2 linked regions of the Mus musculus genome follow. The protein of the gene in region 1 binds, or shares a complex with, the protein of each later gene. Links are inferred from orthologs where the notes say so. Each region holds a gene or a part of one and is shown in the gene's direction. Other genes may lie near its edges.

Region 1 (4,449 bases):
AGAGGGCAGGCTGGAGAGATGGCTCAGCAGTTGGGAGCCGTGGCTACTCCTCTTGAGGACCTGAGTTCAATTCCCAGTACCTACATGGCATCTCACAATTATCTGTATCTCCAGTTCCAGATTATTCTTGGCACCAGGCATGCATGCGGTACACATATATGTGCATGCAATCAAAATACCCATACACACAGAATAAAATAAATACTTTATATACATACACACACACACACACACATATATATATATATATATATATATATATATATATATATATATATATATATATATATATATGGTACCCAGAGCAACTATTATTCCCTTTATTGCAGGTACTGCATCTCCCACTCAGAGCAGTACCATGCTGGGGTGGGTTCAGGTCAGGACTGAATGCAGCTGGCCTCATCCCTACCTAAAGCCCTCCGAGTTATGTCTCAAGGAGCAATGGATTCTTTGAAGAGCCCTAAGCAGCATCTAAGAGGCTTCTGTCTCCTCAGCTCCTTCCTAGGTTTGCCTAAAAGTCAGCTTATCATGATTTTGTCCACGAGTCAATTCTACCTCAATGGGATCGACATGGGCACGCGCGCGCGCACACACACACACACACACACACACACACACACACACACACGCACACACACACATAATAGCTGTACATTTTTACACTAAGAAATGGAAAGGAAGTAGATGTTTCTCTTTGTTTTTAAATTATTACATTTATTTATTGTGTGTGTGTATGGGTGTGTGTATGTGTCTGTGTGTCTGTGTAATGTGCATATATGCATGTGGGTGGAGGTCAGAACACAATATACAGAAGCTGTCTCTCTCCTTCTACCTTGTGGATCCTGGGAATCGAACTCAGGTCATCATCAAGCTTGGCTGCAAGCGCTTTCTCCCGCTGAGCCTGTGCCCTCTGAGCCCGTGCCCTCTGAGCCCGTGCCCTCTGGGAAGTTATTCTTCAAGTGGTGGAAGGGCTCAACCTCTCACTTAGCCTGCTCCCTTCTTTGGGAAAGCAGCTGTCATTGGACTCCTGTTAGGTCAGTTAATGCTGGCAAATAATAAGCTCCAAGCGAGCAGGGGCTCTACTGCACACTAGTGCGTGCCTGGCTCTTGGCAAGATGCTTGGAACAAAACAGGTAGTCGATAAAGATGTGGTGAATAAATGACTATATGAAAATAATTTGACACCGGGGAGATGCGAAAGGAGCTGACGCTTCCTTCCTTCTGGAGTGGCAGGTGTCGCTGGTGATGCAGGCGGCAGCAGGAAAGTCGTCCCTCCTCCACCTCCAGAGTCCGGAGGCTGGATACTCTAAGGCTGGAAGGTATGGGTTCAGGAGGTTGCAGGTCAGGGGTGCGCAGGGAGCCCCTCGCCGCAGCCATTTCCGGCTCTTTGTGTGACAGCAGCCGCGGCGAAGGGGCTGGGCACCGCGGCCAGGGGAGGAGCCGCGGCAGGCGGAGAGGCGGGGCCGCGGGCGGGGCGCGGCGGTCCGCCGGCGCAGCGGCGGAGCGGGGCTAAGCATCCTGCGCCCCGGCGCGGGGCCCTGCGGTAGCCTCGGGTCCCTCCCCTGGACCTGCCACCGAGCCAGGTAAGGGACTCTCGGAGACAACAGGGCTGATGCAGGAACCGAAATGCTGCCTAGGCGGTGGATGCGTTCCTGAGGATGCGCGAGGGGCGGGCGCCACTTCTCCCAGCCCGTTGGGGGCGCTTGGCTTGGCGCCCGAGGCTACACGGCTTCAGGTCCCTGGAGGCCGGGCTACAGGCCTGTGTTGTCCCTTCTCCCCTCGGCCGCCCCGGGCGCCCTGGGCAGGGAGCGTTTTCCAGAAGTCGTGGGTACAGCGCAGAGCTCCGCGCAGCAGCCTCAGCGGCAGCCACAGCAGGTGCGTGGCCTGGGCCGGAGCCACCCGCCCTAAAAAGAGGCAGGGATAGTCTCGGGGACCAGGGATACCTGCAGGGGCCACAAGCCCAGAGGGGGCTACATCCCTGCACCTACATACTGCAGATCGCCGGGCAGTCCCCGCCTCTGCGGTCGCGGCCACCATCATTCAGCCAAGGCCAGAGAGAGCTGCCTGGGCCCGCCTGACAGGCAAGGGGGTACTGGGCGCCCGCGGTGAACCGAAGCCGGGTGGGGCCGGGGCCACAGCGGCACGGTTTGGGAGAGGAAAGCTCTGATGAGCCGGGAGGCATGGCTGACCTGCTTCGAAGCGTTCTGGCCTATACTAGCGCCTCTCCCCTGGATGGCTTTGGGGAGGAGAAAGGTGGGGTGATGGAATCCTAGGGGTCAAGGTTTCCTTCGTATTTAGCTGCCCACCTGTCTGTTGTGGGAGATTGCCACATCACCTTCAGGAAGGTAAGCCCTCCTGTGTGTACAGGAAGAGGAGTAGCTTGTGGCTAAGGGTGGGGGCAGGGAGCATGGTTGAACCGACTGTTGGTTTTCTCCCGCGACTATCTGGGTGTTTTCCAGTCCAGACTTAGAACTTGGCTAGCCCAATTCTTTAGTGCCCACAGCCCCACAGTTGGGCAGGAAGACTTAGGGATCAGACTGACGACTGACTGTTGCTCCTAAGCAACCATTTCTACCTCTTGACCCCTTCCCTTAGAAGTGACCAGCCTTATTCTTGGGCACAGGCCCTGCAAGAACCATTGCCTAGCACTCAGTGACACCCCCCCCTCCCGCCATTGTCGGAGGACAAAAATATAGATTAATATCTATAGTCGGGATTGTAAGTCCTTGAAGGTAGTTGTCCCTACCACCATCCCCCCTTCTGTGGCTTTCCCCCCCTCCACCCGATGCTCCTTGGGTCCCTTCTCTCCTGTCAAACTTGCTTGAGAAAGGAGCCAGTGAGTGGTATTTATCTTGAAGAGCTAAATACAAAAGGTTTTCCCATTGGATGTAGAGCAGGCGCTTCTTAAGTCATGGGATCAGAAAGGAAGCCGAGGATAGGAGACATTTTAATAGGAAGCAGAGCTGAAGTCAAAATATTTGCTATCTCTAATGGTTGACTTTCCGATGTAAGCTAGATGTGGCACTGATACTGTGGTCAGAATGGCCTATGTGGCAGCTGCCAGCTTCGTTTTCTGTCAGGGCTGCTTTGGCCTGGTGGGCAGGAGTACTGTAGGAGTGTGTGTGTGTGTGTGTGTGTGTGTGTGTGTATGAGAGAGAGAGAGAGAGAGAGAGAGAGAGAGAGAGAGAGAGAGGCAGAGAGAGGCAGAGAGAGAGAGGCAGAGAGAGAGAGGGGTCAGGGGTTACTGTCAGCAGAAGGCTTTTGTTGATCACCAGTCTCTCCTTGCCCGTGGGGTGTGAAATGTGCCCATGGAGAGTTCCTTACTGGAGCTAGCTGCCATCTGCCCTGACAGTTACGAAGCCACAGACAGCACGCTGCTGCTTACAAAGCCAGTGCCCCTGGGTACTTCTGCTTGCTGAGCCCCAGGCCGGTGGCATTAGCTCACTAATCTTCTTTATTGTAGTTCCTGGCCAGTTCTGACTGGTTGTATAGGAACCCAAGACTGCCTTGTTCCCTAATGTGGTGGAAAATGGAAAGAAAAAGCGTGAGTTAGGCATTAGGCCAGAAGTGGGGGGTGGGGTGGGGCACAGGTTTGGAGACTCTTGCTCAGATCAGATCACATGGAGAAGTAATTTAACAGCTAGCCAAGGGCCCCGGTAACAGAAGTGCACCCTTCGATTATCGTGCCCCCTCAGTGGTCACTGGGCCTCTGAGGCTGCCATTGACCTGAAAGCTAAATTAGGTGATGAATAGGCAACAGGCTAATTAGCATTGGGAACAGTATTGCTGGAAAACAGTATAGGGCTCCTGTCCTCACATCTCAGCCCCGGCCTCCATGCTCAAAGAGGCTTCTTTGGACCACTGTTAGCCCCAGGGTTCCACCAAGAGCTTCACAAAATGCTCTTTCTGTAGCCTCCATGTGGCCACCATAACAATGAGTCTATTTCTTTACTGGCAAGTATTAATTATTCACTTATAGTTGACGAAACCAGATGTCAGTCACCTCATTGGAGCCTTTGTGAAAGGCCTTTGGTCTTGTCAATTTGAGAAGCAAAGCTATATCTAGGGTCCGGCGAATGGCCTTGGCGATTGTAGCTGGAGGTGGTTGGTGGATGGGGAAGGCAGCAGTTTGTGCCTTGCAGACTGTGAATCCTGTGACTCGGAGGCCAGCTGTGGTGGGGGAGGGGCCAGTGCATCTTTGGATGTTCTTATTAAATGAAAGATGCACGAAAGCTCTGAATAGAGTGTGTGGCACACAATCGGTCTCCTATTTATACCCCTATTGCTGCGATGCAGTATTTACACGATCGCCGAGAATTTGGTTCATGTGCATAGTCAATTCACGGTCCTCTCGGACCTCTTCACTCCCGGGACTTACCTGAATCGTGCTTTTTCAAGGGGACTTGGTCTGCTGGATCAGTTGAGGTACGTGCCAGAGACATTAGAAAG
Region 2 (4,588 bases), on another chromosome or scaffold:
ACCACACATGGACTGACTAGACCATTGTTTGGACAAGCCTTCTTCTGCCTTAGTCTCTTGAGTGCTGAAATTATAAGCATGTACGACTACGTTCCTTTAACGATTTTTTTTTAATGAAACGATTAGGTAAAAAGGTTGGAGATTATTTTTGCAGTTCTTGATAGAAATGGAATGAGTTTACACTGTGACTTACCATTTTGCTTCAGCCGGTCCATCATTGGGTATTAGCATTAAAAATGTATTTGGCAGCTTGGCGTGGTGGCGCATGCCAGCACTCGGGAGGCAGAGACAGGCGGATATCTGAGTTCGAGGCCAGCCTGGTCTACAAAGTGAGTTCTAGGACAGCCAGGGCTACACAGACAAACCCTGATTTGGAAAAAGAAAGAAAGAAAGAAAGAAAGAAAGAAAGAAAGAAAGAAAGAAAGAAAGAAAGAAAGAAAGAAAGAAAGAAAGAAAGAAAGAAAGAGAGAAAGAAAGAGAGAGAGAAAGAGAGAGAGAAAGAGAGAGAGAGAGAGAGAAAGAGAGAGAAAGAGAGAGAAAGAGAGAGAAAGAGAGAGAAAGAGAGAGAAAGAGAGAGAAAGAGAGAGAAAGAGAGAGAAAGAGAGAGAAAGAGAGAGAAAGAGAGAGAAAGAGAGAGAAAGAGAGAGAAAGAGAGAGAAAGAGAGAGAAAGAGAGAGAAAGAGAGAGAAAGAGAGAAAGAGAGAGAAAGAGAGAGAAAGAGAGAGAGAAAGAGAGAGAAAGAGAGAGAAAGAGAGAAAGAGAGAGAAAGAGAGAGAAAGAGAGAGAAAGAGAGAGAAAGAGAGAGAAAGAGAGAGAAAGAGAGAGAAAGAGAGAGAAAGAGAGAGAAAGAGAGAGAAGAGAAAGAAAGAAAGAAAAGTATTTTGCTCATTTGGTAAATATGGAGATTCAGAGTTGGTGGGACACCTCGAACAATAAAGACACTGAAGCTGATGATCTGAGTGTTCAGTCCCACAAGATGGAAGGTGAGGAACCCACTCCTGCAAGTTGTCCTGTAACTTCCGCCCGCGTGTTGTGCCACGTAAGCGCTCACATATAATACGAATAAAATAATTTTAACCTGGCGGTGGTGGCCACATTTTTAATCTCAGCACTCCGGAGGGAAAGGCAGGCTGATCTCTGTGAGTTCGAGGCCAGCCTGGTCTACAGAGGGAGTACAAGGACAGCCAAGACTACACAGAGAGACCCTGTCTCGAAAAACAACAACAACAACAAATTTTAAAAGAAAACGAGAATGAACAGAGTTGTGACCCAAGCATGACAAGCATTCTGAATAAACGGGATTCGTGGACTGTGCCCATCACAGCTAACAAGGTGCAAGAGAGCTTGGAGCAACCCTTAGGCGGAGGTGGGAATGTGTGGGCGCCCCCTAACGACAAGATCCGCTAGTGGTCAGCGGGTGCTTGTAACCGGGGACAGGGTAGCTCTTAGTCTTCACATCGCGAGTGGAGGAATCTTGTTTACCCCAGCGTGGGAGCCAAGCTAGAGCGCAGGGATTAGAGTGCGCACGCGCGTCGCTCTGCCAGCCCTTTCTGGGGCTCGAACACTCGGGTACTGGCTGGCGGCGCAGGCGCGCTGGAGGCCTGTAGAGGTCGCGGCGCCTGCGCAGTCACTCTTCCTCAGGCGGCCGCCATGGCGGGACAAGAGGATCCGGTGCAGCGGGAGATTCACCAGGACTGGGCGAACCGGGAGTACATTGAGATCATCACCAGCAGCATCAAGAAAATCTCAGACTTTCTCAACTCTTTCGGTCAGCGGGCGAGCAGGGGAGGCTGGGAGGAGGGAGGCCTGGGAGGCGGCCGGCGGCGGGGAGGAGAGGCGCGCCGCCCTGGCTACTCGCTTCCTCTTTGGCTGCCCGCCGGCCCCAGTGCCCTCACCCCGAGCCTCACTGGGCCGTTTCCGAGGGTCTACCCTGCCCGTTGCCATGCCCCACTTGCGCTCGTCAGCACGCCCACTGTCCAGCCTCTTAGGCCCATCCATCATCCGCCCCGGTTTGCGCCGCGCTTCCGTGCCAGTCTTCACTTGGCAGGCAGTGCGCAGCCGTGTCACGGTCACGGTCGCGCTTACTGTTGAGAGACTCCTGCTCGTTGTCCATCTCCTTCAGGAAGAAGTCCGAACCCCTTTGATGTCATGCCTTCTATTGCTCCCGTTTAACCACTCCCGGCAGGTTCATTCATCCCCGGCTCGATTTGGTGCTAGTGCTGAGGGTTGTAAGGGATGGGGCCCGCTCGGGCCTTGGGAATGGCTTTTCTAGCCCTGTATCTGCTTCATGGTAGGTGCTCTGGATGCTTCTGTCTGGCTCCTCGGATTTTACAGGGCAGATGGTTTCAGCAGAGTCCACTTTTCCAAAAAACTATTCCTAGGTGTGGCCGGCTAGTGACAGTCTTGATTTCTTTCTGCGTGCGTTCCTAGCCTTCTGGACTGAAAACCTGTTACAGACTTCTTATGGTCTCCGGAAGGGTTCTTTCAGGGACCTTCTTACACAATACAAGACGTGCAGATGGCATCCAGTGATCTTTTTCACTAGAGTGCTTTGGTTCTACTAATTAGCAACTTTCAGCATCTTGGGGAGAAAGTGCTGTATTTTGAAAAAAATTAAAGTGAATCGTATATTTTCTAGCTAAAGACCCGATGAGTCCTAAGTAGTATGATAGAAGGTAACCGAACAGTAGCTTCAATTACGGGGTGTAGTTCAGGGATTGGGCTCCTGAGTGGTAAGCACAAGACCCCGGCATCCCCCACTTCTTAGAGTTTTCTTTCTCTCTCTCCTTTTTTTTCCTCCTTTTTTTGTGTTTTGTTTTGTTTTTTGGTTGGTTGGGGGTTTTTTGTTTTGTTTTGTTTTTGTTTTTTGAGAAAAGAGAACAAAAAGGAAATTGGAAATGCATCATTAAGGGGCAGGGGATGCCTAGTCTGTAGAGTATTGGCCTAGCACCCACACACCATGCCTTTAATAGCAGCACTCAGGATGCAGAGGCAGGAGGACCAGGAGGAACTCCCAAGTCATCTGCTTCATAGAGAGTTTTGAGTCCAGCCTGGTAGAGCAAAGCAAACATCAGCAGGCGTAATTGGTTCTTACACAGGTCTGCTGGCAGTGAGGAACATGGTAACCCTTCCCTGTTATATGTGGTGGCTCATACCTGTACTCTTAGCACTGGAGAGACAAGGGCTGGAAGAGTGCTATGCATTTGAGGCCAGCCTGGTCCTCAGAACAGCCACAGAAATGAGCCATTTTCTAGGGCTCGAGAGATTGCTCAGCTGTTAAAAGCAGTTCCAAAGAACCCAGGTACAAATCCCAGGACCCACGTTGCAGTTCACAGTGGTCCATAGCTCTAGTCCCAGGGGATATGACACACACACATAAAGGGAGACTATCAGTGTAAATAATAATACTAATCCATTTTCTGTATGTAGAGTTCTTTCAGGCTGTTGAGATGGCTTGGCAGGTAAAGGCCACCAACCTGAATACAATCCTCAGGGTCCACAAGGTGAAAGGAGAGAACCAGCTGTCACAAGTTGTCTTCTGGCCCCACATAGTGCATGCCCACACCCACCTTCAAATACAATAAATAAGAGATCTTAATCTGTCCATCCATGCTCCATGTCCCCTACTCCATTTTGCATTTTGGTTTTGAGTCTTGTAAATTGGTACAACTCATGGTTCTCCTTCCTCAACTATTTTTTCCCTCCCCCTCCTGAGATTATTACTGTCTGTCGCTCTGTGCTGGCCTGCAGCTCTACAGATCAGGATGTCCTCTAGTTTGTGATGGCCCTTTGGCTCTGCTTCCCAAGTGCTGGATTAGAAGTGTCCTTACGCACCCTCACGAATTCTCTCTCTCCCCCACCCTTCTCTCTCTGCCGCCACCTTCCTTGCCCCCCCCCCCAATAAACCTCTTACACGTGGGGAAAAAGAAGTATGCTCACAAAGTGTGTAGGATTCTGTATAATCTTACATGGATTTTCTTAACAGGGAGCGGAGGTTAAAGATACCAACTAATGAGAGGCCAGCATAAATGTATATGTCAGTGGTACAGCTTCACGCCCGTAAGTTTCTGTGGAGGTTATAGTAGAGAACTGTAGTCAGTAAAGAGTTCATGTGTCCCCAGAAGAATTAGATTTAAGGAGTATTAAAGGAATGTGATTCAATGACAAAGGCAGGTATGTTCGCAGGTAGACCTGATGGCTTTAGATGGCTTTTTACTGAATTAAAGCATTTTCCAGAACTGATCATTTGTCTTGCTACTCATAGTCAAGTTTTCCTGCCGAGGGTTTTGGTTTTGGCTCAGAATCTTTTGAGCACTCCAACAATTGTGCTTATTGAGTGTGTACCTTTTGTGTAAACTATTTCAGTGTTGGTTCACATAGTTTTCTCCTACTTTGCCAGAGAACTGAAATATTTCACTTTTTTTTCTTTTTTTTAAACTCTTGTAAAAAATGTTTTTAAAGATTTATTTATTTTATGTATATGAGTACACTGTAGCTGTACAGATGGTTGTGAGCCATCATGTGATTGTTGGAAATTGAATTTTAGGACCTCTGCTCGCTCCAGTCAACCCCTCTCCAGCCCAAAGAT

The links.
Region 2: Cyfip2 (region 1) and Brk1 share a complex: the UniProt entries of both Homo sapiens proteins name them as parts of the WAVE1 complex. The link is inferred for Mus musculus from reciprocal best matches to the Homo sapiens genes CYFIP2 and BRK1.

Annotation. Positions count from the first base shown.
Region 1 is NC_000077.6:46,309,361-46,313,809, reverse strand, and holds the start of Cyfip2 (cytoplasmic FMR1-interacting protein 2), read left to right. Parts: upstream 1-1,451; 5' UTR 1,452-1,583; exon of another isoform or gene 1,584-1,875; intron 1,876-4,449. UniProt on the Homo sapiens protein: Involved in T-cell adhesion and p53/TP53-dependent induction of apoptosis. Does not bind RNA. As component of the WAVE1 complex, required for BDNF-NTRK2 endocytic trafficking and signaling from early endosomes.
Region 2 is NC_000072.6:113,603,129-113,607,716, forward strand, and holds the start of Brk1 (protein BRICK1), read left to right. Parts: upstream 1-1,643; 5' UTR 1,644-1,650; coding exon 1,651-1,768; intron 1,769-4,588. UniProt on the Homo sapiens protein: Involved in regulation of actin and microtubule organization. Part of a WAVE complex that activates the Arp2/3 complex. As component of the WAVE1 complex, required for BDNF-NTRK2 endocytic trafficking and signaling from early endosomes.